3 linked regions of the Drosophila melanogaster genome follow. The protein of the gene in region 1 interacts with the protein of each later gene in a pairwise test. Each region holds a gene or a part of one and is shown in the gene's direction. Other genes may lie near its edges.

What was found.
Region 2: the proteins of CG5225 (region 1) and Abcd3 interact in a two-hybrid assay, tested with the Drosophila melanogaster proteins (one large-scale study listed by BioGRID).
Region 3: the proteins of CG5225 (region 1) and CG7017 interact in a two-hybrid assay, tested with the Drosophila melanogaster proteins (one large-scale study listed by BioGRID).

The regions. Positions count from the first base shown.
Region 1 is NT_033777.3:17,026,731-17,033,259, forward strand, and holds CG5225 (uncharacterized protein), read left to right. Parts: upstream 1-1,962; 5' UTR 1,963-1,975; coding exon 1,976-2,006; intron 2,007-2,068; coding exon 2,069-2,701; intron 2,702-2,813; coding exon 2,814-3,934; 3' UTR 3,935-3,971; downstream 3,972-6,529. Other genes in the region: Pxd (peroxidase), read left to right, coding at 1-188, 251-407, 469-838, 902-1,007, 1,066-1,171; CG31268 (uncharacterized protein), read left to right, coding at 5,087-5,117, 5,179-5,568, 5,634-6,517.
Region 2 is NC_004354.4:19,745,074-19,757,377, forward strand, and holds the start of Abcd3 (ATP binding cassette subfamily D member 3), read left to right. Parts: upstream 1-5,696; 5' UTR 5,697-6,064; exon of another isoform or gene 6,065-6,274; 5' UTR 6,275-6,360; coding exon 6,361-6,473; intron 6,474-9,797; exon of another isoform or gene 9,798-10,230; coding exon of another isoform or gene 10,231-10,271; intron 10,272-11,356; coding exon 11,357-11,469; intron 11,470-11,538; coding exon 11,539-11,729; intron 11,730-11,797; coding exon 11,798-11,895; intron 11,896-11,960; coding exon 11,961-12,304. Other genes in the region: Rpp20 (ribonuclease P protein subunit p20), read left to right, coding at 1-32; CG33932 (uncharacterized protein), read left to right, coding at 34-480; parvin, read left to right, coding at 1,116-1,236, 1,569-1,658, 1,738-2,009, 2,177-2,797; Alr (augmenter of liver regeneration), read left to right, coding at 3,840-4,235, 4,315-4,556, 4,616-4,778.
Region 3 is NT_037436.4:20,206,052-20,217,513, reverse strand, and holds CG7017 (uncharacterized protein), read left to right. Parts: upstream 1-5,391; 5' UTR 5,392-5,480; coding exon 5,481-5,490; intron 5,491-5,761; coding exon 5,762-6,831; 3' UTR 6,832-7,222; downstream 7,223-11,462. Other genes in the region: CG6996 (uncharacterized protein), read right to left, coding at 8,556-9,646, 9,886-9,889.

The DNA.
Region 1 (6,529 bases):
ATCAGTTACTACGAATGGCTGCCCATCTTCTTGGGTGGCGAGAACATGCTGAAGAACCGGCTGATCTACAAGGCTCCATCCGGAAGCTATATCAACGATTTCGATCCCAACATTGATCCATCGGTGCTGAATGAGCACGCGACGGCCGCTTTCAGATACTTCCATTCCCAGATTGAAGGTCGTTTGGAGTAAGTGCCTATTTACTATTATGAGTTAAGAACATTTTATTAATTTTAAAATTTTTGTGCAGTCTACTGTCCGAGCTGCGTCAAGTTCTCGGCTCTCTGACCCTCAGCGACTGGTTCAATCGTCCCGGTATTATTGAGGTTGGAGATAACTTTGATTCCCTGACCAGAGGACACGCCACGCAGCCCGAAGAGCTAACTGATATCAATTTTGACCGACAGGTGGGTACACAAATAACAAAATGAGACCACCTTTCTAACCTCTCAACCTTTCCTGGCTTAGATCAAGCACTTCCTGTTCAGAAGAAACATGCCCTTCGGTTCCGATCTGCGTTCCCTGGACATTCAGCGTAATCGCGATCACGGTCTGGCTTCCTACAATGACATGCGGGAATTCTGCGGACTGAGACGTGCCCACTCGTGGGAGGGATACGGTGATCTAATAAGTCCACCAATTCTGGAAAAACTTAAGTCGCTATACCCGAGCCACGAAGACGTGGATCTGACTGTGGGCGCCTCCTTGGAGGCGCATGTGGCCGGAGCTTTGGCTGGACCCACCTTCCTGTGTATCCTCACGGAACAATTCTACAGAACCAGAGTGGGCGATCGCTTCTTCTTCGAAAACGGAGACAAGCTCACTGGATTTACTCCTGGTAAAAAGAACATTTCTCCTCTGACTATTTTAAATATTAATTTATTTATGTCTAATTTCGTAGATCAACTGGAGGAGCTGAGGAAGGCCAGTATGGCTCGTTTGCTGTGCGACAATGGCAACCACATTTCATCCATGCAGCCCGAAGCTTTCCGGACTGTTTCCCATTCGTAAGTTTAAATTGATTAAATTGGTTATTTGGAAAGTAACTGAGCTCTGAAATTACAGGAATCCGATTATACCGTGCTCAAATATTCCACAAGTCGACCTCACCAAATGGATTGATCAAAAGCTATATGCCACTGTAGATCCGTCTCACTACGGAAAGAAGTAATCCGCTGCTGTGGGATCTATGCTTAACTAGTTGAATACAAATACATTTAGCTTAATCAATAACATAAACGTAAATGCAAAGCCCCTCCCCCCCCCCCCCCCCTTGTATGATAATGTCCCAAACTGATGTACAGAAATAAAGCCCTTACCATTTAAACAATCAGCTTTACTTTCAGTGACCTGATAATGTTTGTAAGATTTCACGGAAATGAAAAGAAGTCAAGGGCAAATCCCAATGCCATCCAGACCCGACCCCTTCTTATGCAATAGGCCCGGATAAAGAAATGCCGGGTCCGAAAACCTTTACACTTTCGTTGACTTTGGGATAGCTCCGATTCATCGGGGTTAATCATATGGAGACGCGCGACCGAGGTGTGAACAAGTTGATAGAAACGGCCAATTAAGAGACAAAACTCTTTTTTCTGCCATTTTTAAGTCATGGTTCATTCGAATCGTAAAGCGAAACAATCGGCAACAGAGAATGTGTTCTTTTTTGCATATGTCTTCTGTTTTCAAATGGAAGTTAACATATTAATACTTCAGAGGCGGTTCACTTTTGGATTGGACATAAATTTACATATATAAGTTTAGAGAGAACCCAGGATGATAGCATCATCGCGAACAGGTTTGCATATTTTCCGAGAGATTTGGCAAGCAGATTTCTGAATGGACATGATATAACGGTTCTAGTGAATCTAGATTAATGAAAGTGATTTAAACAAAGTGTGCATACAAGATTAAGAGTTCATAATGCGGTATAAAAGTGATCCGTCCGCCGGAGAAAGGCAGCAGATACCATTTCGCCATGAGGCTGTTCGCAGTGATTTTTTGGATAGGTAAGGAATATGATTCAAATAGGATGGATCTGATTTCTAATTGGGATTCATTTCCTTTCCAGGCTGGGCCTTTGGCCTAGCGAATTCCAAGAACCCGAGTGCCGAGACGGGCAGACTGATAGCATCTCTACAAGCTGCTCCGGCTCCGGCGCCAGCACAAAGTGTGATCTACAAGCTGCCACCACAGCACTACTATCCGCCACCACCGCCGCCGCCTCCGCCTCCGCCACAGCACTGCAATTGCCCGCCAGGTCCACCGGGGCCTCCTGGACCGCCGGGCTTACCAGGAACGCCTGGTCCGCAAGGTCCCAAGGGACACACTGGGTCCAAGGGCGAGCGAGGAGAGAAGGGAGAACGCGGTCACTACGGACTACCAGGCCAACCAGGTGAACCGGGACCTATTGGTCCACCGGGACTACCAGGCCCACCCGGTCACAAGTCGGGACATGGTCACCATGATCATCATGATCACCACCATCATCATCCAGCGCCACCGCCACCACCTCCACCTCCGCCTCCGCCGCCTCCACCACCACCACCACCACACTCACACCCGCATTCACATCATCCCCACCCGCCGATCGTGACGCCACCAATTATAGTTCCCATACCATTGCCACCGCAGAAAGGTGAACATGGTCACCATCATCACCACAAGGGATCCAAAGGTCCACCCGGACCTCCAGGCCCACCAGGTAAGAGAAAATCGTTACTCATATATATCACAACGCTCTAACAGTGAAAATATTGAAAGGATATATTATAAGTCATTTTCCAAAATTTTACTGAGTATTTAATCTCTTGCAGGAACGGGACCACCGGGTCCTCCAGGACCTCCAGGCACTACGTATCCACAACCCCCACCACCACCACCACCACCGCCACCTCCACCACCATCGTACCCATACCCACCGTACCCGTATCCACCACCTGGTCCTTATCCGGGACCATGGATTCCTCTGCCAGTGCCAGTGCCCTGGCCCTCAAAGGGACATAAGGGGGATAAAGGTCACAAAGGAGGTCATAAGGGAGACAAGGGCGGACACCACCATCACTATTATCCACCAGGACACGATAAGGGAGGCTACTATCCGTATCCACCCCACGGTGGCCATGGAGGCCATCACCATCCAGGCCACAATTATCCAGGCCCCTATCCGCCACCATATCCACCTCACCATCCACATGATGGCGGAGACAAGGGTTATCACCATTATCCACCCCACAATCACGGAGGGCACAATCACGGGGGACACAACAACCATCATCCACCTCACAATGGAGAGCACAACCATAATCATCCCCCTCACAATCACGGAGGACATGGCCACCATCATCCCTCACACAATCACGGAGGGCAGGACCCACATAATACACACCCCCACACTGGTACACACGGAAATGGAGGACACAGCCAAACTTCACACCACCAGCACCCCCATCATCATCAACCAAAACCCACTAAGCCAGAGGGTAGTGGCGAGCAAACTCCACGGGATGATCTGGACTTGCTAGATGAAAATGTGGAGATTGTCGAAAACATAATTGATGAAAATGATAACGAAAATAATTTCATGGAGGGCGAGGAGGAAATGTCCAATGAGCCCAATGACTTGGAGACGGAACCCGAGGATGCGGACTACGGCCTTGAATATGCAGATAACACAGTGGAGAATCCCGAATCTCCGAGTGGCGCTGAAGAAATCGATGATGAGGATTCAAGCTATATGGTACCAGAAGGAGATGATGCGATGGAAGAGGACCATATGATGGAGGACCAGATGGACCCAGTGAATATGATGGAGGATAACGCACCTATGGATGGAGATGCAATTGAGGAGCGAACCAACAAAGGTCCGATTATCCTGTCAATTGGAACTCCTCGAAATCCCTTTCACATTTACGCCTATGAACAGTATAATATATAAATAAGCCAACACCACGAGAAAATAAAAAAATAACATTAAAATATGAGTCTTTTATGGGTTTTCTAACAATTTAAAAATACTACTTTTTGGGTTTCATTTAGAGATTTTGATACAGTTAATAAAATTTAAATGTTTAATAATAAACAAAAGCAGTGAACCTCTGTAGATTTCCGTATTAATAAGATCATCTCGCAGAATTCGTATAGCAAAAAATTTAAATGTATAAACAATAAACTGCGTTATTGTTAGCTGTCAAAATAGTTCCGTTGTTCTTGGAAATGTCTGCGGCTTTGTTAGATTTTCTATAAAATAACAATGGACAAAGATATGAAAAAAGTGAAATCATATTGAAATAAGCTATTAATTCAATGACAATCGAATGAAATTGCCAACTCAAATCATTTATCAAAATACAATGGTAAATTGTTGAATCTTATCAGCTAGGCAAGTAAAATTGTTTGTAATATATGTATTTAACTTTTGGCAGATATGAAATTAATAAGTTCAAATGTTTTCAGGTATTAGGTTGATTAAATTCATTAATAAATTTCTTTGTCCATAAATTAGTTTTGTACGACTTTTTAAAGCATGCGTGCGTCACGTTGATCCAATGCCTTAAAGTCTTGAAGAATTTTGAACGTCATATTAAATTTCACTATTTAAAAGCAATTTGTATGATAACGATAATGAAGAAGATAAGTCAGATCGTCCCATTTTTGCGGTATTCTTATTTTATTGCCCCGTAAATAAAACAATGGGGGCTGAAATGGAACAATCAATGCCGACATGGAACCAAATAAATAACTAAAGAAAGTTAATAAAACTTGTGCCATAATATACATTTTAATTCTTAAATAATAACCAAACATTTAAGCCCTAATTGTGGTAATCAATTTAATAATAGTATTAGCACATCGACAAAATGGAATAAATCATTTTTCTTGAGCCTCATCGAATTCCATGCGTGTGTATCTGGACCAATCTTCGGTTAAATTTATGCGAAATCATTAGGCTGATGAGATCTGAGATTTGCGATTTACATTTTACGTGTTTCGCATTAACCCATTAAAGTCTAGACCAACTGTTCTTAAGGTCTATATAAGAGATGATCTAAGACGAGCAGGTGTTCATTCACGAATGAGACGTCTTGAAATGAAGCTGCTCACGGTTCTGCTGTTCATAGGTAAGCCGAGTTAAGAAGATAGAACCTTAGAACATTACTTTACCTGATTCTTGCATTTTAGCCATCTCAGCATTTTGCGAGGGATCATGGCTGCTTTCCCCAGTCAAGCCGGTTGAAGTAGAATCGCGGCCAAAGACAAAGAAACCAGCTCATAATAACAACAATCTGTACTATTACAGTCCTGAAGCGATAGATTCTTCCTTTTACTACGGCTTTCAACCCAATTGCCAATGTCGCCCAGGCCCGCCAGGACCTCCTGGGCCACCAGGAATTCCTGGTCTGCCAGGTGTAGAAGGAGCGCCAGGAGAAAAGGGGGATCGTGGTGACCGTGGAGAAAGTGGTCAAAGGGGTAGGCCGGGTAAAACTGGATTTCCGGGACCAATTGGTCCACCAGGACTACCTGGACCACCAGGCCGCCCTGGCAAATCTTCATCGCATGAACAGAAACAAGGTACAACCATTATTTACTTGCCAGCAATTCCAGCGGACAAGCCGCCAAAAATGGAAAACCCACAGGCAGCAATGAAAACCCACCACCCGATAATAGAAACGACATTAAAAAGACAAACAAGCCTCGGGCACCGCAGCTTTTGAGGGCAAATTCCGATGAAATTAAATATCTCAATGTTAGTCCGCAACTGGCCCAAAACCACAAAAACCGAAATCGCAAAAGTCAAATTACTTTCGCCCATTTCGATCGTCAGAAAATCAACCAGAGTAACAAGATAACAACTTTGACTAAGAACTTACAAACAGTGACCAATTCCCAAAAACACAAAACAAACGCTCCAATGCGCCGAAAGCAGACTCCTAATCGAAAGGTAATTAAAAATACAACTACTGATTTAAGCAGTTCAGATCGTCAGTCAGTTAACAAAATGAAGGGCAACAATCTTGGCGAGAAAAACATATTGACTGATGCAAATAACAGCATGAATTTGAATATCAGCCACGTCGGATCCCAACAAACGAAAAACGTAACTAAAACTGGTGTAAAAAGTAGTCAAATTGATGATATACCAATACCAGCCGATGTATCTGCAATAAATTCTTTAAACAAAGAAGTAAATTCACAGATATCTAATACTACATTGCAAAGTATCATTCTGGAAGAGACGACTCTACCGAATAATATTAAAATAACAGATGAAAAGCTAGATCTTAACAAATTAATAACGATTACCGAAGAGGCGCCCGATGCGATTCATACAACAACAGTTCAAAATGAGACTTTAATGAGTGAAAACGCAGGTGAAGCACAAGCCACAGAAATTCCAACTGAGGAATTAGGAGAAACGACCACATATAATATGTCCAATGATGAGATAGATGAGTTCAGGTTTCACGACATTGGAACCCACATCGAGCACCGAAAGCCCAGCGACAAGAGTATCAACTGAATCTGAAGAACC
Region 2 (12,304 bases), on another chromosome or scaffold:
AGTTCCGAGGCAAGGCGAAGGCCAGGCAGTAGCATGTTCAAACTCTCGGAGCTGGTGCGCTGGCTGGGGCTCACCGAGTTCGAGATTCTGGTCAATCTGTGCGGCCTGCTGGTGTTCACCATCACGCTGACCGTCAAGCTCCATCTGCAGGCCAGGGCCGGACCCGGTGGCATACTCCCGGAGCCCATGGGCGACTGGTTCACCGTCTTCAGCCCCCTGTTCTTCATCGACATCTGCAACGCGTACTTTTGCGTCATTGTGGGCATCCGCATGTACCTGGACTCTAACAACAAGCGCAAAGCCCTGCATCGCTTCATGTGGAGCACGTATTTCCTGGTGCTCATCGCCATCTTCAAGTACCTGCTCTGCCTGAAGCTATCCAGCAAGACGGGCCTCGAGTATTCGGAGGTCTTCTCGCCGATCTTCGTTCTGTTGCAGCTCGTGGCTGTGCGCGCCTGCCAGTTGCCCAACTCCATCTAAACCATAGACGTAGTATAGCCCTAGTTCCGTATTATACATATATGTAACTATTCTGAAAGCCTTTAAATCATTGGATTGGTAGTTATCTGTATACGCAATGTGGTACAATAATTTTTAAGCGGTACGAAATTTATCTTTCTGGATATAGCATATCTAATATATACGAATTATATCTGATCTGATTCGGTATGAAGGACATACATACATACATATGTTGTTGTGCTTTTTAATCAATGATCTAATGATCTACGCATTATAATTTTTTTAAAATTTCCAACAATTTAATTTGATGTACAAATTCAAAAACTATTAAGCTGATATGAATTTCTTCTAGCTGTTGTTGTCAAAAGCCACATTTTTTTTAAATTATAAATGAAAAATAACATTTAAGCTCATTGTTTTAATTTAATCTAAGGTCTTTTTAAACAATTTTTATAATTGGCAATTTAGTTTTTATTCGATTTTTTTGGAAGTTTCTCTTGAGTCCGAACGCCAGTGTTGGACAACATGTGTGGTGGGCCTGCGATCAGGTGGCAGCCCCAAGGGAAACTGATTGCTCAGCTCCGCCCGAAACGAATCGAAACAATAACACAAACTGTTCACTTAGTCCGGAATTCTTGGAATCCAGCAGCACCATGTCCACACTGAACCGCCCTAAATCCCCGCACACGCCCACCGCCATTAAAAAGGGCGAGAAGGAGGACAGCTTCTGGGACAAGTTCAGCACTTTGGGCCGCAAACGCGGCACCCGCGAAGGTAAGTCCACTTGATGATTGGAGCTCTCCAGATGGCTATTGTCGGCCAGGAATTGATGGGTATCCCAGAGTATTCCATTCTTGGACCCCTGAACCTCCGAAAAGTGGCCCAAAATGACCCAATGGATCCTCCCCCTGCGCACTGGAAGCTCTTCTGGGAACAGATGTGCGGATGCGCTGATTAATCAGAACATTGCGTCACTGTTGACCCACACAAGCAAACGGCGCTGATAATCGAGAGTGTGTGCGTTTGTGTGAGATGGCCTTGTGTCGTCACCGTTTTTGTTTACCTTGTTGATACCCTAAATACGCATCCGCTTGCTCCATTTGCAGTGAAGAAGGTCCAAGAGGAGGGCAAGTACGCCATCGACTCGCCTGGATCGCCCAGCCAGTATGACATCCCGCCGGAGGACTATGCCCTGCGTAAGTGCATTCGTTTTGAAGGGGCATCTCCTCGTATACCCATCGCATTTCCCACAACTCATCACATTTGATCCTACAGGCGAGCACGAACAGCGCGCCGTCATCGATCCACAGTCCATCAGTGATCCCCAGGTGATAAAGCTGCAGCGCATCCTCGTCGACTGGATCAACGACGAGCTGGCCGAGCAGCGCATAATTGTTCAGCACCTGGAAGAGGACATGTATGACGGCCAGGTGCTGCACAAGCTGTGGGAGAAGCTCACCGGCAAGAAGCTGGACGTTCCTGAGGTCACCCAGTCAGAGCAGGGCCAGCACGAGAAGCTCAACATCGTCCTGAAGGCCGTCAACCATGTAAGTAGTAGTAGTTTATGTTTTGCAGGATTTAAAAATCGGAGTTACCAACATTTAATTATTTATCCATTCTTAAAGTCGAATAGAATAATTTTTATTCGATTTACAATTAACATTCCCTTTTCTCGCGATATAAGAATAAATTTTATCCTTGCCCACACCCACAGACACTCGGCTTTCACCAAAAGATTCCCAAGTGGTCGGTGGCCAGCGTGCACTCGAAGAACATTGTGGCCATATTACATCTGCTGGTGGCACTGGTGCGTCACTTCCGGGCGCCCGTTCGCCTGCCAGAGAACGTGTTCGTGACCGTCGTGATTGCGGAGAAGAATGCGGGCGTGCTGAACGCGCAGAAGTTCCAGGAGCAGATAACGTCCGAGTACGACGACCTGGGCATGCGCTGCGAAAAGGACGCCTTCGACACGCTGATCGACTGTGCGCCGGACAAGCTGGCCGTGGTGAAGAAGTCCTTGATCACGTTCGTGAACAAGCACCTGGCCAAGCTGAACTTTGAGATCAGCGATCTGAACACGGACTTTCGCGACGGCGTATACCTGTGCCTGCTGATGGGCCTGCTCGGTGGATTCTTTGTGCCGCTGCACGAGTTCCATTTGACGCCGCAGGACGTGGATCAGATGGTCAGCAACGTGGCCTTCGCCTTCGACCTGATGCAGGACGTGGGCCTGCCCAAACCAAAGGCGCGGCCGGAGGACATCGTGAACATGGACCTCAAGTCCACCCTGCGCGTCCTATACAGCCTGTTCACCATGTTCAGGGACTTCGCCTGAGTGAAACCCGGATGGAACGAGCCAGCGGGTTGCAGGAGCAACAAGCGGCGCCAATTTTACATTTTATATTAACTTTTTGATAGTGTTTACACGCCTAATTTATGTGCGTTCTCGAAACTGATTGTAGGCGATGCAGCGGTTAAAGCTTACTGATCCTAACTCTCAAAACCACAACTAAATGCTGCGTCGCGTATAATCAGCCCAAGGAATGTTTATATATATATATATATATTTATGTGTCGTACGTCTAACCACTGCGATCTGCTCCAGATTCAGATTGCTCGGAACAGGAAGGAGCAGAGCAGAGCAGAGCTAACCCAAACCCAAAATCCGGCGGCCAGTTGTTAACTTGTCTTACTCACGTGCCAGACGTTGTAGTTGTTACTAAGTGAATTTATTGTATTAATACATTATTTGAACACAATAACCGAGATTGTGCCTTTAGATCACACAGAGCTTTTGCAAATTATGTCACAGATCAGATTTTAACGCTGTAAATGTAGAAGTTTACGGAAAAGTCTTAAAAAAAAATTTTATTGTGTACGTTAAAAATTTGGATCAGAAAAATCAATAAATATTGCCAATAGCATATGTGTTATTCTATTTTAAACAGTTCCAAGGCGCAAAATTTATCTGGGGCTGCAGCACTCACAAACGCCAGCTTCCATCCTATTCACATGTAAGTTCTTTCGAGCGTCTCGAATTGATTGAGAAACAAACCTTAGTAATTTTCTGAACGCTGTGCTATTTGAATTGTCGCGGTTGCGCGCGCAACTCGCAACGGTCTGGTATCGATCACAGCTGCGAGCAGGCTGCCAGATCGCTTCCCGTTCGGGAACGATTTCGCATCGATTTTCGATTGCTGGCCGGTATAATTTGAAAATGTTACTTTGCTGACCGGATTTTGGTCCTTGGCCAGATGTTGGCCATGAATCTAAAAGCCAGTATTTAGTAACTTGCGTTGATTGCAGCCGCTTAACTAAGCCGCTTAGCCAGATATGTCCTAATGTTATGTGTTTCGTTTCGAAACAAGGTGGCAACCATGCGCATGCTTTTTATGATTTTCACAATAGCCGAGCGAAGTTTCAAGATTCTAGAACTACCCACCACACCAACGCTTCTGCTGCGCCGCCAGTCCCACAACTACGGCTACGACTACATCAGCCCCACGCACATCGAACTCAGCCGGGAAGCAACTCGCCTGGTAATTCGCCGTCTGCAGCGCACCGTTCTCCGCCTGATCCGTGACCCGGACTTCATCATGTCTGCCGAGGCGAATCCCGAGATGGATAAGGAGCACCACGAGTCCCCATTCGCAGCGAACCGCAAGGCCGGTGCCAGCGGCGCCGGCAAACAGGACTCGAACTGCCGCACCTGCAACGATTTCAAGTCGTGGTCCAAGCAGCAACGCCTCATCTCCAACGTGCAGAGCGCCAAGGTGACGTGATCGCGTTGGCCACTTCGCCTTCGCAAGCAGGACGATAACACAAGAATCTCCCACTTTCATACTCCTCCAGGTGAAGCACATGGCCGCCGCCGAAAAGCTGACCGTCAACGCCGCCGAAGATCCGCTGCCCCGCGACGACTGCCCGCTGGACAAGGTGAGGCTGGGAATTTCCACCTGGGGACTGCTCCACACCATGGCCGCCTTTTACTCGGACAACCCCACGGACACCGAGAAGCGCGACATGAAGACCTTTTTTGAGGTTCTGTCGCGCCTTTACCCCTGCGAGTTTTGCGCCAAGGACTTTCGCACCGAGTAAGTGCATCTTCAATCCATTTGAAAACGCTGACACTTTAGCTGGACCTCTGTTGCAGCCTGGACGTCAACCCCATCAATGTGAACTCCCAAAAGGAGCTAGCACTGTGGCTGTGCAAGTTCCACAACCGAGTGAACGACAAACTGGGCAAACCGCTCTTCGATTGCACCAAGGTGAACGAGAGGTGGCGCGACGGCTGGCTAGACGGCTCCTGCGACTAGGCGCCGCAGCTAACCAGCGCCGAGAAGCCCCGTCTCCCGCCCGTTGCAGGTTGCCATGTTGACCAGACTTTGTCCCACATTTTGCTCGGCTGGCCCACAACTACAACCACGGAACACGGGACTCCTGCTCGGCGGTGTACCGCCGCCAACCCGAAACTGTGCCCTGTTTCTGGCCAGAGGCCATGCCCACCAGTCGGAACCTGCGTCAGCGTGACATTAAATTGAGTTATGTTGTAATAGAGCGACACATCGAAGGTCCATTGTTAAATGATTTGCTGGCTATGAACTCCATTAGAATATACACATTATGTTGAGGACCCGTATTATGCCTTCTCACTGGCCCTGCAGATATCGCAATCTCTAATCTGCCGACTGGCGTTTATTAGATTAGAATGGGGAAGGCAAATGCTTTCCACTTCGATAAGATGGGAGTGGAAAGATCTAAAGCGGAGTTGGAATACAATGCTTAGTTGGTTCGAAATTAGGGGATTTGGCTGATACTTATATAGTTTTTAGATTTCCTTTCTATAATACCTAAAGGACTAAAGGTCTTAAAATTTGTCTGCTCTGGTTATATTTTTTAATATTTAACTTAATTTTTTTTTGCAATCAACGAAACATTAACATTTTATTCATTTAACATTTTAATATGCTTAACATAAGAGATATAAAAATTAGTGGAATTTTCGTAAGAGTAAGCCATTATATGATTTACTTATATAACATGATTGCTCAGCAATAGTTTAGGTAGTTTAAGCGGGGAAATTTAAATTTGGCTAATTTAAAATATTTAATACCTCAAATTTAGATGAACGATATTTTCGATTCATAATTATCGGTGATAACTTGTTCGATAGCTCTTCGTTCAGAAATAGCCAGATTTGGCGGCGAAATAGCTGCCCCCGCAGCGCCGCTGCCCGCACATTGTCGTGGTAGCCAACACTAGCGCACATCGCACTACAGTTAGTTGCCTGCTGGCTTTTGCGCGTCGCACGTATCACTTCGTCAGATTTCTCGATTTGGTCGAGCTGAGTAGAGTGTAATTACCAAACAAAGAAATGCGCCTGGCTCAAATTGAATAAATAAAAGCGCCCGCCGTGTGTGACAATCACTTTGCCCACCCCCTTTGGCCAGAAAAGGAGCGCCACTAGCAGCGGAGGAAGAAGCAGCAGCACCATCACCACCACCAGTTGTAGTACAGGAAGAAGAAGAAGCAGTTGCCCTGAAAGAGAGAGAGGGTGCGAGCGAGAGAGGACGAAGCTAAGACAGGGCTGTTCGACAACCAGGTGTTTACATCCTGCTATCCACCATCTGTGTGTGTGTGCATGTCTGTGTGTTGTGTCGTCATCAAACAGCCGATTAAAATATTGAAATCCGTGCAATAAACAATAGTGTCTGTTCCCCTTTCATACTTACTATTTATTATAATTTTTTTTTTTTAATTTTTTCCTTGTGCAAACCCCCTCCCCCCACGTGCGGTTAATCGAACACTGAAGTGCGAACGCGAAATTGCGAATTGTAAAATTCACAAGGTGCCCAATTTGAAGCCAAACGAGATCCGTAGCCACATCGCAATAGCAGAATGGCCCCGGCTCTAAGCAAATTGGCCAACAACCAGAGCGCCATCGTCGGCGTGGCGGGCATGACGGCGGCCCTCTGGATAATTGCCTACGGAAAGATGTCCAACAAGAAGCGGTAAGCCCCCCCTTGATCTTAATTACGGATAATTGTGGCTCAACCATGTTATTTATGTTGCCTGTGCAATATGCAATATTCTACGAACATCTTATTGCACAAGGTCTCGGTCTTGGCCATCGATGTGTCCGTGATATTGACTTGAGTTTTGGATCGCTGTGTATTTATGTACAAACAGATTTGTTTGCGGGACATACGATGCGATGCCACTATTGTGGGTCATCTGGCGGACTGCAAAAACTGGTTTTCCGATGGCCGTTTCTGCCACACTGTATGCACTTCCCCCTCATTGTAGTCCGGTTTCAATTGATTCGTCCAGCAGCCGCGCACAGTGGGCCGGACAGTTCGTTTGCAGCTCCAAATACTGTTCTTTTCAATTGTGTTACCCATTGCCATAATCTTATAATAAGTTTGGCGACCACCAGCTTACGTTTTGAAGATTCTCAAAAAGATATTTTTAAGTGCAGTCCCAATACAAAAAAAAAGTCAACAGATCATCGATTCATTTAAGTAGATGTGAACCAAAGTAGCTGGATCTGTTTGCAGTCTATCCCTATTATGTAGATATACTGATATCTAGGATAGGTCTGAATGTATATATTGTCTGGGAGGAATGGAGGAATTCCGCGTACTTAGCAGAAGGTAGACTCAGATAGGCACTACATTTCCGGCCAAACAGCAAACTCGATTAGGAAAGCCTTCTCGGCGCCCTCGACTATTATGACCCGAATAGCCACTTCTTGGCGGCCTGCTTCATTGCGGTATCGCTTCAAGGATTTCCCCATCGAGCACCTGCGATGCGGACTTGATTCCCCGGTTAAGGGCCACGTTTCGGTGTTTGAATGGACTTGGTCTTTGCCGCTAATCTAATCGGCAACGCGCCAGTCTACAGCACTTCATCTATATGCCCCATTCCACTATCGCCACTCGTGCCGATTATGCTGTTGTTAACGCGCTCAATATTTGGTCATATTCGATGTGTGCGGGGTTCGGCGCGCAATTGACCGCTATCAGTCGATTTCATCTTATTGAATAAACTGAACGGGTAAAGCGGGCGCAATCGACTATTTGCATGACAGAGCCAATTAATTAGACAGATTGCGGCGGACAAGTGGAGTGGGTGGGTGATTGCATTGCCAGCCAGCCAGCCAGCCAGCCATCCGCATGGGATTGTGGGGGATCTGCCGTGGCTGCATGTGCCACTCGTTAATTGCTAACATTACTCCGAGTACTCGGAGTATGCCGAGCACTCCGATGTTGGATACCCAACCGGTGGCCATCACTTTCAGCAACTTCTCTGAAGTGCACTGCACTTTGGCAGGCGATCGAAATCGAGCATTTTAATGCGCTGTTTACTTTTTTATGCAACTTTTGCGAGCGAGGTAGCCGCCACTTGTGGATGGCCGCTAAATTTATGCACCATTCCATTGTTCGAATTTTGCACAGTGGATGGTGCAGTCGGTTCAATGGATGCAGTGACTGGACACTCCACAGTCCAACCAACCAAATGGGCTTCGCAAGTGGAGCTCCACTTCGATTATGCTTTCATATGAATCAGTGGTTGAATTTTGTGGTTCATTTCATATAATTTCATTTAATTTCATTCATTCTATGATTCACTTTCAAGTCCAAGAGCTAATCGCTGAATGATTAAGAACGTTGAAAGTTTAAAAGGGACTTTTCGAATGTGTCAACGAGTTTCCGAGTAGCAACGCCTCTTGCACAACTTTCAAGGCGCTTTTTTATCGGTGTTTTTTTTATAGCCTCATATCAAGGACAGGCCCTAGAATTGTTAACTGATATGGTACGGTTATGCTAGCTCGTAGCACCGCCAATAATGTCTTTGCAATCTATCAAGGGTTTGGACAATTGGACAACACACCCAAGCTCATTAGTCCAAAGGTCCAAACACTTTGACTTGACATCCAGCAGCCTGCCTTGCAATCGAACACGCAACCACCGGTGGGCAGTTTGCTTTTGGTGTTGCAACAACACTCGATTGTACCCCTTACCCGGACCCAAGTCCGTACCCATACCCACACACACACACACCCATTCCATGGATGACATGATGACACCCGGGTATAAAGCATAAACATTACAGCCGTGCCTTTTAATGACTTGCGTCGTGCCATCCACAACATTGGATGGAGAGAAGCGCAGAGGACCAGTGGCTTCTGGTTTCATTTTTCCATTTCCATTTCCATTCGCATTCCCGTTCCCATTCCCAGCTCTTTGCCTTCGAGATGGGTAATGGGTAATGGGGTATAGGTGTTAATTTGTGTACAACTTGCTCTGTTTTTCGCAGGTAGACACATTCTGTATCGCCCGGCCCGTCCCGCCGGCTGTTGCGCAATAGCTTGTGTGGCTGTGCGCGCTCCAGACTTTCGGATGGGGAAGTGGAAGAGTCGGATGGATGGAGAGACCTTGTGCCCGGGAAACGCTTGGCCCTCGATAATCGGATTGCCCCGCAAGGCAGCCATTTATCGTGTAATTTGTATAATTCTCGCCTTTACTCGGACGGTGCGTGAAATGAGATCGTAATTTCAATGCAGATTCGCAGCCGAGCTCTGACATTTGCACCTGTTGCGGATGCCACGTTGCCAAGGCCTGTATGTCTGTCTGTCTGCCTGCCTGCCTACCGCTCACTCACTTACTCACTCACTCACTCACTCACTTACTCGCTCGCTCACTTGCTCACTCGCTCTCACTTCTGAGACATCGCAAGCGGAGTGGAGTGAGCGTGTGAGTGCCGGCAGACTGACTACGGGTCTTGAGGTCTACAGGTAACAGCCAAGGCAACAGGTGATGAGTATGCCCGAGCTGTGTCGAGCTATCTGATTTTGGCCAGCGTTTATCAGACAAACTAGCTCGATAGCGGCTGCTATGCGGCACAAGAACCACTGAACTTTGATTGCAATCCGCGGCAATGTCTCTATCTGAGTCAGACGCCAACCGATCTTCTCGCGCCCGGGTTCAATGTGCCCCCCATTAGGCGATCGCCGGCGATTAGCGAAAGAGAGCTTTGGATGAATCGCAGGGGCAGGCGATTTCGGAATGGGAATGGGAATGGGAATGGGTATGGGTATGGCAATGGGAGCCACCGGTGTTGACCTATGGACCCAAACACATGTTCCACGTCTAGGCGGTGAAAACAAGTTTAATATACTACGAATCAAAAAAGGAAAACCACACGAGAGACAGCCAGACACACAGACGGATTGAAAGATAGATAGATGGAAACATATATATATATATATATATATATATATATAGAAATAAATACAAGAGCGCTATGAATAATTCAGTGATCTGCGCAGCGATATTTAAGAAATAACCAAGTCATCACGACTCGTCGCTTTTTCCAGCCTGCAGATAACCAAGGCGCGAGCTTTGTACTTTGTTTGGCCTAACATACCAGTAGCACCAGCACCAGCACCAGCACCAGCACCAGCAACACCAGCACCTCACATCTCATCACCCACATTATCCCATAGACTTCGAACCCTGGGCAGGTGGCGATTTTGGACTCCATCCGATTCGATACGATACGATCCGATCCGATCCGATCCGATCCGATTGGCGATCCAATGCCGGTTAGCCAATGGCCCAGTGGCTTGTGTTGAGCTGGTCAGCTCTGGGCACCGGTTTTCATCCGGACCTTGATCCCACAACGATTAGCAGCTGAAAAGAATTCAAACAAATTATCTCGGAAGCATTTCATGTAGCAAATTTGGGGAAATGTGCTTTTTTTTTAATGTACGCTCAAGCAAAAGTGATAACGAAAGCCCATAGCTTGTGAGTAATGTTTGAGATAGTTAAACTATTTAGCCGAATTTCCATGCAATCTAAAATAAATATTTTATGTTTTTTTTTTTTTTTGGAAATTATAATCGTTTTAATTGATAAAACTTATCGATCGGCTAATTAGTCGAAACATTTTGTGAATTACGCACGTTAAATGGTGGACTTAAAAAGTTAGCCAACTGATTTATTGATCGATTCCATGGCATCTTGTTTGGAAAAGTTTCTACATATATCTGCACAATATTGAGTACTTTGCTCACAGCGACTTCGCTTGCAGTATTGCTGCATAGACGGGCTAAATGTTTGTTTATCAAACGAATCGAATATTTAGAGTGACGATTTGTTAACGCACGCAAAATTTAGCAGGCTTCATGTGAATAATTTACCGGATTGTAAAAAGTACGAACGATGATCGAGTCGTTTTTTTATTTTTTTGTATTTATCTATTTGTCATTAACCAACCTAATGAAGTGCGGTGGTGTGAAAAGTCATGGCTCATCCCGGCGTCTTAATTGTTGGATTTAATCGCACACCTTCATTGCAAATAAGCGACTTTATGGAGACACTAAACACGAAGTTCGTTCTTTATTTGCGGCGCCGATGATAGCGCGACTTGCTATAAAAAGGCAAAGGTTGCTATTCAAATTGGCTATCCAAACAGGGAGTTTAATTATTGTGATTTATTTCATAAATTTGCCATCAACGTTGCACATTTGCCTGGCCAATGATCGAAACTGCACAACATCGTTGGCTAAAAACAGTTTTGGAATGATAAGACCACTCCTCTTATCAACATTTTTCATAACTGCTGTACGAGTTTTAATTTATTATTAAGTTTATTGAGCCATAACCCAAATCCATTAGCACTCAATGGAGATTTTGAGCAGTCCAATTGTCTGCCATCCACAAAGATCAAACATATGTATTATTATATCTATATATCTATAGAGGGCAAACAGAAAGAACCTTTGTAAATACGGCCAACTAATAGAGTTATTAATTTCTCTCATATTTTATTGCTTCAAACGACATATAGCTTAGTTACAAACACTTTTAATATGCTATCTTCATTGCAGAAAACCCGGCTATGAGGACAAGATCCAGTACACAATTGCCGAGAAGAAGGATAAGAAGGCGGGAAAGGCGCACGTTAACTCAGTATTCTTCAAACAGCTCCGCCAGCTACTCCGTAAGTAGATCCTCATAGAGATCCTTTAGCAGTCTCTCGGATCACGTGCAACCTTCCCTTCCCTTGCAGCCATCCTCATTCCCGGCTTCTGGAGCGTGGAGACCGGACTGCTCTTCCTGGTGGCCGCCGCACTGATTGGCCGCTCGGTGAGCGACATCTGGATGATCCAGAACGCGACGGTGGTGGAGAGCACCATCATACACATGAATCGCACCAAGTTCAAGACGGCGCTGCTCAAATACCTGACAGCTCTGCCAGCGGTATGGGATACTAATGCGATTTACCCACACAACGAATAGTTCTAGCTTCGCGTTGCTGTTTCTTGCAGATCTCCGTTGTGACCAACGTCCTCAAGTGGAGCTTGGGTGAGTTGAAGCTGAGGTTCCGCACCAACCTCACACACCACCTGTACAGTCAGTACCTAAAGTGAGTGCCATGGACAGATTGCTCAGCCAGTCGGGCAGATATTAACCAGACTCGTTCGATTGCAGCGGCTACACGTACTACAAAATGTCCAATCTGGACAATAGGATAGCCAACGCCGACCAGCTGCTGACCACGGACATCGACAAGTTCTGCGAGAGCGCCACGGACCTCTACTCCAACATCAGCAAGCCCGTGCTGGACATCTTCATCTACGTGTACCGCCTGACGGTGAACCTGGGCGGCAAGACACCATCGATCCTGATGCTCTACCTGCTCTTCGCCGGCGTCTTCCTGACACGCCTGCGCCGCCCCACTGGTCGCCTGACCGTCGAGGAGCAGAAGCTGGAGGGCGAGTTCCGCTATGTGAACAGCCGACTGATCACCAACTCGGAGGAGGTGGCCTTCTACC
Region 3 (11,462 bases), on another chromosome or scaffold:
GCAGTTCCAAGAACAACAACAACCAGAGCAAAGCAAGGCTACAGTTAGTTCCGTTATCCAGACGGCGCAGTTTACGCAGGCTGGCGCCACAAAAGAGAACACAACATTTCACTCGCCGCAGCGATCCAACGAGAGAGCGGAGAGCCAGCGTTTTCCAGTTGATGCTCTCGCTCTCGCCAAAGAGACGATAACCGATTACGATGGGAAAACTTGCGCGCGTGCCTGGATAACAGTGGTCAAAAATATCGCACGCACTTTCAACATCGATGACAACCATTTACGCATCTTACTCATCACTAAACTTAAAGGAAACGCGCAAGTCTGGTTACATGCGCACCCTGCTCGATTGATCGAACCAATTGACAATTTGCTTGATCAATTGTCATTGACTTTTGGCGAGCAATCATCCAAGGCTGAGATCCGGCGAAAATTCGAGAGTCGCAAGTGGAAAACCGAGGAGAATTTCTGCAGTTATTACGACGAGAAGATGGCTCTCTCAAACGGGATAAACATCGACGACGACGAACTACTGGACCAGATGATAGAGGGCATACCGCTACAAAATTTCCGTACCCAAGCACGGATTCAATGCTTCTCTACTCCATCGGAGATGCTACGCGCATTTTCGAACATCCGTTTGCCAGCTCGGAGGGAGCCACCTGTACAGCCAACCGACTACAAAGATGCCATACGATGCGCAAACTGTAATTCAAGAGGACACAAAGCTGACATCTGCAAGAAGCCCAAACGTGAACCAGGTTCGTGCTACGCCTGTGGACAACTTGGACACCTGGTGGCACAATGTCCCACAAGGAAGAGCGTTTCATCTAATAATTATGTAAGATGGTTTAAAATTAATTTTTTTGAAAATGCTTATAAGCCCATAATTTCAGAATGCCTCATAGACTCTGGCAGTCCTATATCTATCATTAAAAAGTCACTTATTAACGAGACAATGAAGTTAGCCCTAGTTAATACTTGCTATTTTGGTTTAAACAACTGTATTCTCAAAACACATGGACAAACCACATGTTATGTATTGAAAGGATCAATAAAAATATATTTTCGTTTAATCATTGTTTGCGACCAGTCTATGAGGTATAATGTTATTCTCGGCAGAGATTTTTTAACTGCATGCAATTTAAATTTAGACCCGTACACCTTGGGAATGATTGCGTTGAGAAAACCCATGGAAATAAACAAAATATCAATGTTTACTGAAAATGATAGTCCTGAGAAATCTTTAGAAAATGAAATTGTTAGTCCAAAATCGTTAGAGAATGAAATTGTTAGTTCACAATCGTTAGAAAATGAAATTGTTAGCCCCAAATCGTTAGAGAATGAAATTGTTAGTCCAAAATCGTTTAAAAATGCAACTATTAGTCCGAAATCGTTAGAAAATAAAATCGTTAATCAACAGCATAAAGAAACTGGTCCAATATCGTTAAGAGATGAAATAGTTAATCAACAAAAGAATGTCAGTAAATCAAAATTATCAGAAGATGAAATTGTTAACACTTCAAAAGAAATCGTTAGTTTTAAATTGCCAAAAGATAAAAACGTTTACGAACAATTAAATCACAACTTTGATAAGGAAGTACTAAGAATATGTCATGTAACTGAAAGTGAGTTAGAATACAAAATAGGAGAAAATGTTAGCAATAGGTTACAACTAGAATTCGATAGGTTGTTTAGAAATTTTTATATAAATGCAAAAAGGCCAAATGAACCGACAGTTAGAAGTGAAATACAATTGTGTTTGAAAAACCCGAAACCGTTTAGCTGTTCTCCTAGGAGGCTTTCATACACAGAAAAAGACAGGTTACAAAAACTATTAGACGAATATTTGGAAAACGGATTTATACGACCAAGCGACTCGGAATATGCATCGCCTATTGTTTTAGTGAAAAAGAAAACTGGAGACTTACGTATGTGCGTCGACTTTAGAAAACTTAATAAAATGACAATGAAAGACAACTATCCTCTACCTCTTATAGATGACTTGTTAGATAGAATGAATGAGAAAACTGTTTTCACCAAACTCGATCTTAAAAACGGTTTTTTCCACGTGCATGTTAAAAAAGAATCAATAAAATACACCTCTTTCGTTACACCATTAGGCCAATACGAGTGGCTGCGAATGCCATTTGGCCTCAAAAACGCCCCGTCTGTGTTCCAAAGATTTGTTAACAAAATTTTTGCTGATATGATTAGAGAAAACAAAGTAGTAGTATATATGGACGACATTCTATTGGCAACCGAAAATATAAACGAACACTTAGAAACGTTGAAAGAAATTTTTAAAAGATTAGTTGAAAATAAACTTGAATTAAGAATAGACAAATGTGAGTTTATGCAATCGAGTATAAAATATCTTGGGTTCATAATAAATAAAGACGGCATAATGCCCAATGACAAAGGAATCGAGGCAATAAAAAATTTCCCAATACCTAATAATGTTCATACAGTACAAAGTTTTTTGGGATTATGCTCATATTTTCGACGGTTTATAAAAGATTTTTCTAGACTAGCTAAACCATTGCATGACATTCTAAAAAAAGATAAACCGTTCAAATTTGGTAGTGAAGAAATGATTTGTTTTAATATGTTAAAAGATAAATTAATACAGTCACCGGTCTTAGCTATATACAATCATAAACACGAAACAGAATTGCATTGTGATGCAAGTTCTTCTGGATTCGGTGCTGTACTTATGCAAAAGAAGGAGGACCAGAAATGGCACCCAGTTTCATTCTTTTCAAAACGGACAACAGATATTGAATCAAAATACCACAGTTTCGAGTTAGAAACTTTAGCCATTGTTTATTCGTTACGTAGATTTAGAGTTTATCTTCATTGGAGGACATTTAAAATAGTCACCGACTGCAACTCATTAATTTTGACCCTAAGCAAAAAAGAGCTAAACCCTAGGATAGCCAGGTGGGCTTTAGAATTCCAAGGTTATGATTTTGAAATTGTGCATAGGGCAGGTAGCCGCATGCAACATGTTGACGCACTGAGTAGGTGTACAAATATTATGGTAATACAAACAAACAGTTTCGAAGATAATCTAGTTATATGTCAAGGGAAAGATACAAAATTAAAAGAAATCAGGCAATTGTTAGAAAACACAGAAAATAAATTGTATGAGATGAGAAATGGTATAGTTTACAAAAAGACAAATGAAAATAGATTGCTGTTCTACGTTCCGATAGAAATGGAAGAACAAGTGTTATACAAATATCACAACGAACTTGGACACGTAGGAAGAGACAAAATGATAGAAGCTATAATGAAAAACTATTGGTTTCCAAATTTAAAACAGAAGTGTAGCACACATATCAGCAACTGTTTAAAATGTATTTCATTCAGTCCCAAAACAGGAAAAACAGAAGGATTTCTACACAACATACCTAAGGGAAACAAACCTTTTGAAATAATCCATATTGACCATTATGGTCCAGTAGACTTGGCTAGACCGAAGAAACATATTCTAGTGATAGTAGATGCATTCACAAAGTTTGTCAGACTATACGCAACAAAAACTACGAACACAAAAGAAGTCATACAATCGTTAAATGACTACTTCAGAGCATACAGTAGGCCTAAGTGTATCATATCAGATAGAGGAGCATGTTTCACGTCTGGCGATTTTGACTCATTTTTGAAAGAATGCAATGTTAAACACATAAAAATTGCAACAGGATCGCCACAAGCCAACGGTCAAGTTGAACGTATAAACCGAAGTCTTGGTCCAATGATTAGCAAGTTAATTGAACCTGATCAAGGTCTACACTGGGACTTAGTCTTAGAAAAGGTCGAATATACCCTGAACAATACACTACACCGCAGCATTAAACAGTATCCTAGCATAATGTTATTTGGGTTACAACAAAAAGGACAAATTATGGATGAGTTAAAAGAAAAAATTGAGGAAATTGGAGAAACGATTGAAGAAAGAGATTTAGAAAGTATTAGAAATAAAGGCGAGGCAAGTCAGAAAATAGCACAAGCATACAATAAAGAATATGTTGACAAAAAACGAAAACGATCAGGAGTGTTCACAAAAGGCGACTACGTCATGGTTAAAAATTTTGACTCAACAACAGGCATAGCTAAGAAGTTAATTCCAAAGCATAAAGGACCCTATGTCATAAGCAAAGTTCTCAAAAATGATCGCTTCCTTCTGGAAGATGTTGATGGATTTCAAATTTCTCGCAATCCTTACCGGGGTGTATGGAGCATACAGAATATAAAACACTGGCAAAGAAAAATTAAGAGTCTACAAAATAGAAAGTATAATTTGAGAAACTCTGTACAAAATAGAAAGTATAATTTGAGAAACTCTGTACAAAATAGAAAGTATAATTTAAGAAACTCTGTACGAAATCGAAAGTATAATTTAAGAAGCAATTGTAAAACAAAGAAAACAAACAAGAAGAAAAGAAAACCAAAAAAATGTTTAAGACCGTTCAAAAGTATCTCCACTAAGAAGAATAAAATAAGAAACAGGACCCTTAGCTTTAAGAAACGTTAATTGTTATAAAATCCTACGATCGGGAGATCTAGTAGTCAGGACGGCCGAGTTGTAGTAGGCTGCTCCTTCTACCCTCTTCCTTTACTCTTAGTCATACATACCTAATTATACATAGCCAATCTAGTCATAAGCTTATACACTCATACACCCATCCTTAACATACAAATATTATCGAGAAACTTATCGACTAATCGACTCGCCACTCTGCAGAGAGCGCGGCAGTCAGTCGCTGTTGAACCAAGCTAAAGGACAGATCAAAAATAAAAGAGACACGTGAAATTGTATTAGAATATTAACTTCTGTAAACGGCGGCTAAAGTATAGTATAGTATATTCTAGTATGGTATCGTATAATATAGCATAGTTATAGGTAACAAAATGATACAAAAAAATAATAATAATATTCAAAGAGACATGACGAAGAGCTCAGTTGACGCAGAAATCGTTCAGCAATTCATTTATTGGTCCGAACTCCGAATTAAGATATTCGATGAGATTGGGAGTTCGGTCTGTAGATGACTATTCCAGCGTTTCTCAGATGTTCGAGAACCGTCAATGGCGCTGAGATCTTGGAGATCTTGGCGTGACATATGCAATTCCCTTATCAATCCGATGCGATACCACCGCCACCACAGGAGTCTGTTCTTCTGCGAAATAGGCAATTCCGATGTTATTGCCGTGTAATTTACATGCGGCCCCGCTATCGTACATCAGTAAATCAAAAATCGAAGAACGAAAAATCAGCGCTATCTTGGAGTTCTGATTGAGATAGCGTGTGCATTTTGGAAATTGTTTTTCGCCGAACAAAACCGAGCAGAATGGCCTTTGCATATTTAAGAGCTCCAGCCTCCGAAGGTGCAGTATCATTTGAGTTGTGAGTGCCGCCAAGATCGCAGCGGGGCGTTCGAGAAACCAGGATACAAGTTAACCAAAGGATATAAAACATGAATAGAGGTAAACTAAAGTGGGACGCCAGCTGAACATTGACAGTGATGGATTTCGTTTGAAAGAATTGCTCTTTAAAAATGTACATATAAATTAAATTCAAACATTAAGTTTTTAAGTTGATAGGGCTTTCTGGCAGAAGGGTAATTTTCGTACCAGCTATCGTAGTTTAAATTTAAAAATTGACTCACATGTTTGGGGTTAATAAATGGTAAAGCACACTGGATATGCCATCCTGTTCCTGACACAATGTTCCCACGATTTTCGATTTTACTTGCAGCTAGCGGTGTCCTGTCGCTGCTGTTTGTGGCCAGCGCCCTGGGCGGCGTGATCGAGGACTTTGAATACCTATCGGTGGCCGAGATGTGCGACCTGCTGCCGCAGGAGACAAGCTTCCTGCGACCGAATACCTGCGACAACTGGGTGCGGTGCGCCAGCAACTACAGCGTGCTGGAGCAGGGCGGCTGTGCCGCAGGACTCAACTACAACAAGGAGCTAGGCCGCTGCATCCTGGCATCCTCCAGCGCCGCGGTGTGTCCCTATGCCGACAGCATTGCGGACAAGGCCACGAACCTGTGCGCCAACGAAACGGAAGGCGCCTTCATCGTGGATCCCAGCAGCAGCGATTGTCGCGGCTACATCTTGTGCAAGTCGCACAAGCAGATCAAGGCCAACTGTCCCAACGAGCTGATCTTCCATCCCGTATCGAGGTCTTGCGTGTACGAAAAGCAGTACCGTTGCCCCATCAGCCAGACGAAGAAGACCAGTCCCGCCTGCCGATCCCTGCCGAACAACACCCGTCTGGCCGATCCCGTCCACTGTGACCAGTACTACGAGTGCGTCAGCGAGGTCTTGCACAGCCGAGCCTGTCCAGTGGCCAGTGCCTACGATGCTAATCTCGGCTACTGCGTGGATGTGGCTGAGGTGTCCTGCTACGAGAGTGCCGCCCTGCCGGAACCGGAAAACACCTTCTGCCTGGACAGTGCCACCGGATCCGCTCGCGTTGGCTACTTTGCCGACGACGAGTCCTGCTCCCACTACTATATCTGTGGCAGCCCCGTCGCCGGCAAGCACGACACGGAGCCCAAGCACCTGAGCTGTCCACTTGGCCAGTACTTCGACTTCGAGAAGCTCTCGTGCCGCGACAGACTTAACGTACGCTGCCAGCTGGACAGGTGTGTGGGCACCAACATCACCTACGTAAACGTCGCCGGCGATTGCCAGAGCTATGGACGTTGCTCCGGCGGAGTGACCGTCAGCCTGGGCCAGTGCCCAACGGGCTACTACTTCGACGAGCGCAACCAGGGATGCACACAGACCAACTACCACAACATCGCATGTTCCGTGTAGGCTGTCCCAGAAGATCGCATCCTTACCACAATCCTTACCAAATCGCATCCAATTTAAATATCCAATAAATCGATCCAATTCATGGTGGAGGTCAAATGCATTGCTTGAAAGGAATTCATGTACTTTGTGGTGGGAAGTGTTAAGTTTTATGACATTCATCCATTTACTTTTTACCATGGAAATGGGTCTACAAATATTAGCTTCTCGAAAAATGTCCAATAAATGTGTTACTCCATTGAAACCTGAAATGTATATATATATAGTTTATCCATTGCATTTGGCTCTATTGTAGTTTTATTCCCTTTCCATTCGAATTTTACCGTCTGCTTCCTCTTTATAGAAGATGTTACCCTAACCTTGAACAATAAAATATGAATTGGTATAAATAATGCTAGAGAAATACTATGATTTTTTGGACTGATTTTTGAACTACATTGGCGGAAATGTTCATTAGCGAAACGAAGTTGGCGTGATAAAATTCTTCTGGCAACCCTTTTGATATCAAAACTGCGCCACACAACGATTCATATTTGGCAATCTGTTTTCGTGACACTTGCAGTGCCCAAAAAATTATCAGTTTTAATTAAAATTGTACCCCAGTGGAGGGTTCGGAGAATTTCAAACCGATTCCAGATAGTCCAGATAATGAATTCGCTACTCGGAGCTGCCGCGATCGCTTATTTCCGTGTTGGCCATCAGGCGAGCAAGAAGTATCCAACGCCCAAGGGTCGTTTTTGTCTATCACTAATTAAATTCAACTATTAGGGTCGATGTTACCCATTAGGTCCACAAATATTGTATGAGTGTGAAATGCAAATGAAATGCATCGACGCGCTTTCGTTCTCCATAGAAATCAATTATGTCCACTTTAAGAAGGAAGTTATACAAGTCCACAGGGCGGATGATTGATTTGTATGTAGGAAAGGTCAAGTATTCAAATGACAAACGGGGCAACTTTGCAGCCTCGCTATAATGTATTAGTATTTATTGATCATAACAAATAACGATAACAAATTCCGAAAAACTCAATAATATAAGTTATCTTGTTATGACACCTCATAGACATATGTACATGTACATATATGGTGCCTAATGAATAAAGTGGTTTGAATAATCAACTTTGTAGTACGATAACTTCGTACTTTTCCATTCAAATCTCCTATTGCAGTTGTTAAAAACGGTGATATCACCCATGTATGGGCCATGAATGGGATCCAATGGCTACCTCCCTGGTACTTTCCCATCGCCAAATTTCCAAGTGGTGTTCTTGAGTATGACATCACGGTTTCACGTTACCGAGTGTCTTGCTCGGCAATCGATTCAAGGAAATCTTGGCCCAGAGGTGATCTGGTAACTTAATCGTTATTGCGCCTGATTACACCACTTATATTTATTGTATCGGCGTCGAAAAAACAAACTGTCTAATTAAAACTGATTGCGTACGTCGCTCACGAGACCAAAATATTGCTGATAGTGCCATTCATCAGCCGACGTTTTCTGGCAGGCGGGATAAGATTATATTATGGCTCGGATGGTTCACAAATGAGTCAACTTTTAATCGTACAACTAAGCTTTTCGAAATAATCTTTTTATACCTAAATACATTTGAAAATTCAGATGTTTGTATTGTGATCAATTCCACGAAATCTAAACAAAGAGCTGATCTATAATTTGTATGGGACTTGGGCCTGATAACAGCACTACTTATACTTATGAGGAGCTGCTCACGACACCGGGACCGCAATGGTGGTGCTAGTGATGGTGCTGCTGGTGGTGGTGGTGGTGCCACTTGGAACTTGGGACCCGGTGGTTGCCTCCGATATCTGACAGGCGGTATATGATATGACCTGGGTGGTGCACCGTTGGGTTATTTCGTCGAAGTACTCGTCCTGCGGACAAGTTCCTTGGCCAATGACGATGCCATCCTGGCAGATCGAGTAGCCCCTGCAGCCATCATCCGACTCGTTGGCCAGCTGAATGGTGGAATTGCCCAAGCCCACGCATCGATCGTAGCCGCATTTCACCTTGGATCGCGGGACACAGGCTCCGCCATCGGTGGCCAGGAAAAATCTTCCATCGGAGCAGACGCCATGCTCCAGCGAGAACTCTCCATTGCCCAAATCCTTGCAGTAGTAGTAGCCATTGCAGGTCTTGTTATCCGATATAAATCCACCCGTCTCTGGACATACACCCTTCTTGCTAATATCTGGCACTGGGACGAAGTCACACTCCACATTCTGCGGATAATCGCACTGGGCCGTGGAGGCCTTGAAGTAGAAGGTGCCCGGACAGGTTCCATTGATCACCTGGCCATCCCAGCACAACTGATAGCCATTGCAGTTGTCCGTGTCCTTGACGAAGACCCCATCCGGCAAGATGTTGCAATAGCTATCCGGGTCCATTTTATTCGAGCACGGAAAATCGCGGATGCAGTCCTGCGTTCCCGAATTGAAATTCATCCCAGTGTTGCACACTCCGTGCGTCCCCTTGCCATCCTTGCAATAGTAATAACCATTGCAGGAGTACGGATCAGCCGCGAATCCGGTGGGCAGAGCAGCGCACGGATCACTGGACAGACACTTGATACTACTGGAACTCAGGCATTTCTGGCTCTCCCGGTCGTAGAAGAGTCCAGTCGCACAGCTACCACTCACAGGGCTCCCATCGATGCACTGAATCCACGCGTTGCACGCCCGAGGATCGTTCATCTTGGTTCCGTTGACCACCAAGCTACATATTAGAGTTGCATTGAAGGTCAGGGCGCCTGATATCGTGGGGATCATGATGAGTCCGGAAATGAAGGCGAGCTTTGTGTCTGTTTTGCATAAAAGGGTATAAGTACGATATTCGAAATAAGTTGCAAGTGAAGTATGCTTTCAATTTCGATTTAAATTGCATATTTTTTTTTCAATAAATGTTTGAGTTTTCGTTATGAACTTCTTGAGCCTAAGTCTACGGTTTTCTATATTTATATCTGTCTATGAAATGGTAATTCTTCTCGAAACAACAATATAGTTACTTCGATGGATATCTGCTAGTGCCAGAGATACTCACCCATCTCGAGTTCAGCAAACTTTTAGTATTCCAAAGATACAAGTACCTCTTAACGGCTAACGAGGAAAAGAACGTCTAACTGGATGCCATCCAAGTTCGCCAATAAATACAAATCGAAAGACAATGCTTATGCCCTCGCTACTTTTGGGTTTTCCGAAAGGTCTGTAAATTTTGGAAGCTCTAAGTTAGTCTAGAACTGTCTTCAGTGGCTAAAATGGACGCATGACGTATTCATATTTCACTTTTATCAGATTCGGTTAAATCCAAATTTGACAAGTGATAAACTTGGCCAACGCCGGTGCGCAGTTCATTTAAAACCCAATTTGTTTTTATTTTTGTCAACTTGTGCGGTCATACCTTTGGTTTTTTGGTAGTATTCGTTGTCGAATTCGTATCCGCTTGTTTATAATTACTATCTTTAGATTGGGTCTAATTTAATTTATTACACATATAGTAATTAACTTTATTTCAAAATCAAATGTTATTATGTTTATCGCCTGCGATCTGCTGACTCAGGTGCACACGACATTATGCTATTAATAGTCCACGATGACCGATTCTTACTGACATACATACTTATTGAGATTACTGTTTAAAATTATACATTATTGTGAAATTATTTACGATTAAACTAACTTTATGAAATAATCTGCCGATCGTCGGTTTTAATTGTACCTGATAGTCGTAGAGTAAATGAGTGTACAGAGTGTTCGTTGAAAGGAAAGATACTATTGTATAAGAATATAGAAGATTGATGTGAAAATTACTTGGTGTATAGGTATGCTACAACAAGTAAACCACATATAAAAAATCTAGTGTCCTTGAACTCCCTTCAAATGAGTACTGAGTATCTTAAAGTCGAGGAACTACACTAGCTTACTTGTTTTTTTAAAGTCAATTGGGCTTTACCACATAAGTCCAACTTTTCTGTTCCGATAGTAACAAATATGTCTAGGAATCGCCACAATTAGTCAATATTATTAAAAACAAAGTGTGTGGGTTTTGCCATATAATATGTAGGTAATTTTAAGCTAATTTAGATTACTCTAATCTCATTTCGTTTAATTGATTTGTTTGAAAAAAAAAATAGAAAGGACCATATTTGGAGAACTTCTTGATATGGTACTACTTGAATTATATAATTCGGTAAAAAACTCATTCAAATTTAATCAAGTATATACATTTGGTTAAACAATTATAACAATTATAAAGTCGTTAGCTTTAAAATGCGAACTCTGTTATAAGTTTAGAGCACGATGTAATTCTTTATTGCTCTTTTATTTACACATTAACTTTTTAATATTCCAATTATAGAAACGCAGTCTAAAAAATACATTTGAGTTAATAAAAAGAACCCAAATTTCTATCCGTCTGAGTTCTGGGAAAGTTCTTATCCCCACAAAAACTTTGTTGACTTGTCAAAATGGCCATCGATCATGCAAAAATGGTTCGTTGGCTTCGCTTGCGATACATCACAAAATGGGTTCCTGAGCTGAAGGGTCGTCGATCAACTTGGACAGCCCAGCGGATCGAAGATAACTCCTGGCTGGACTGCAAATAAAAGCCCAGGAAGTCCA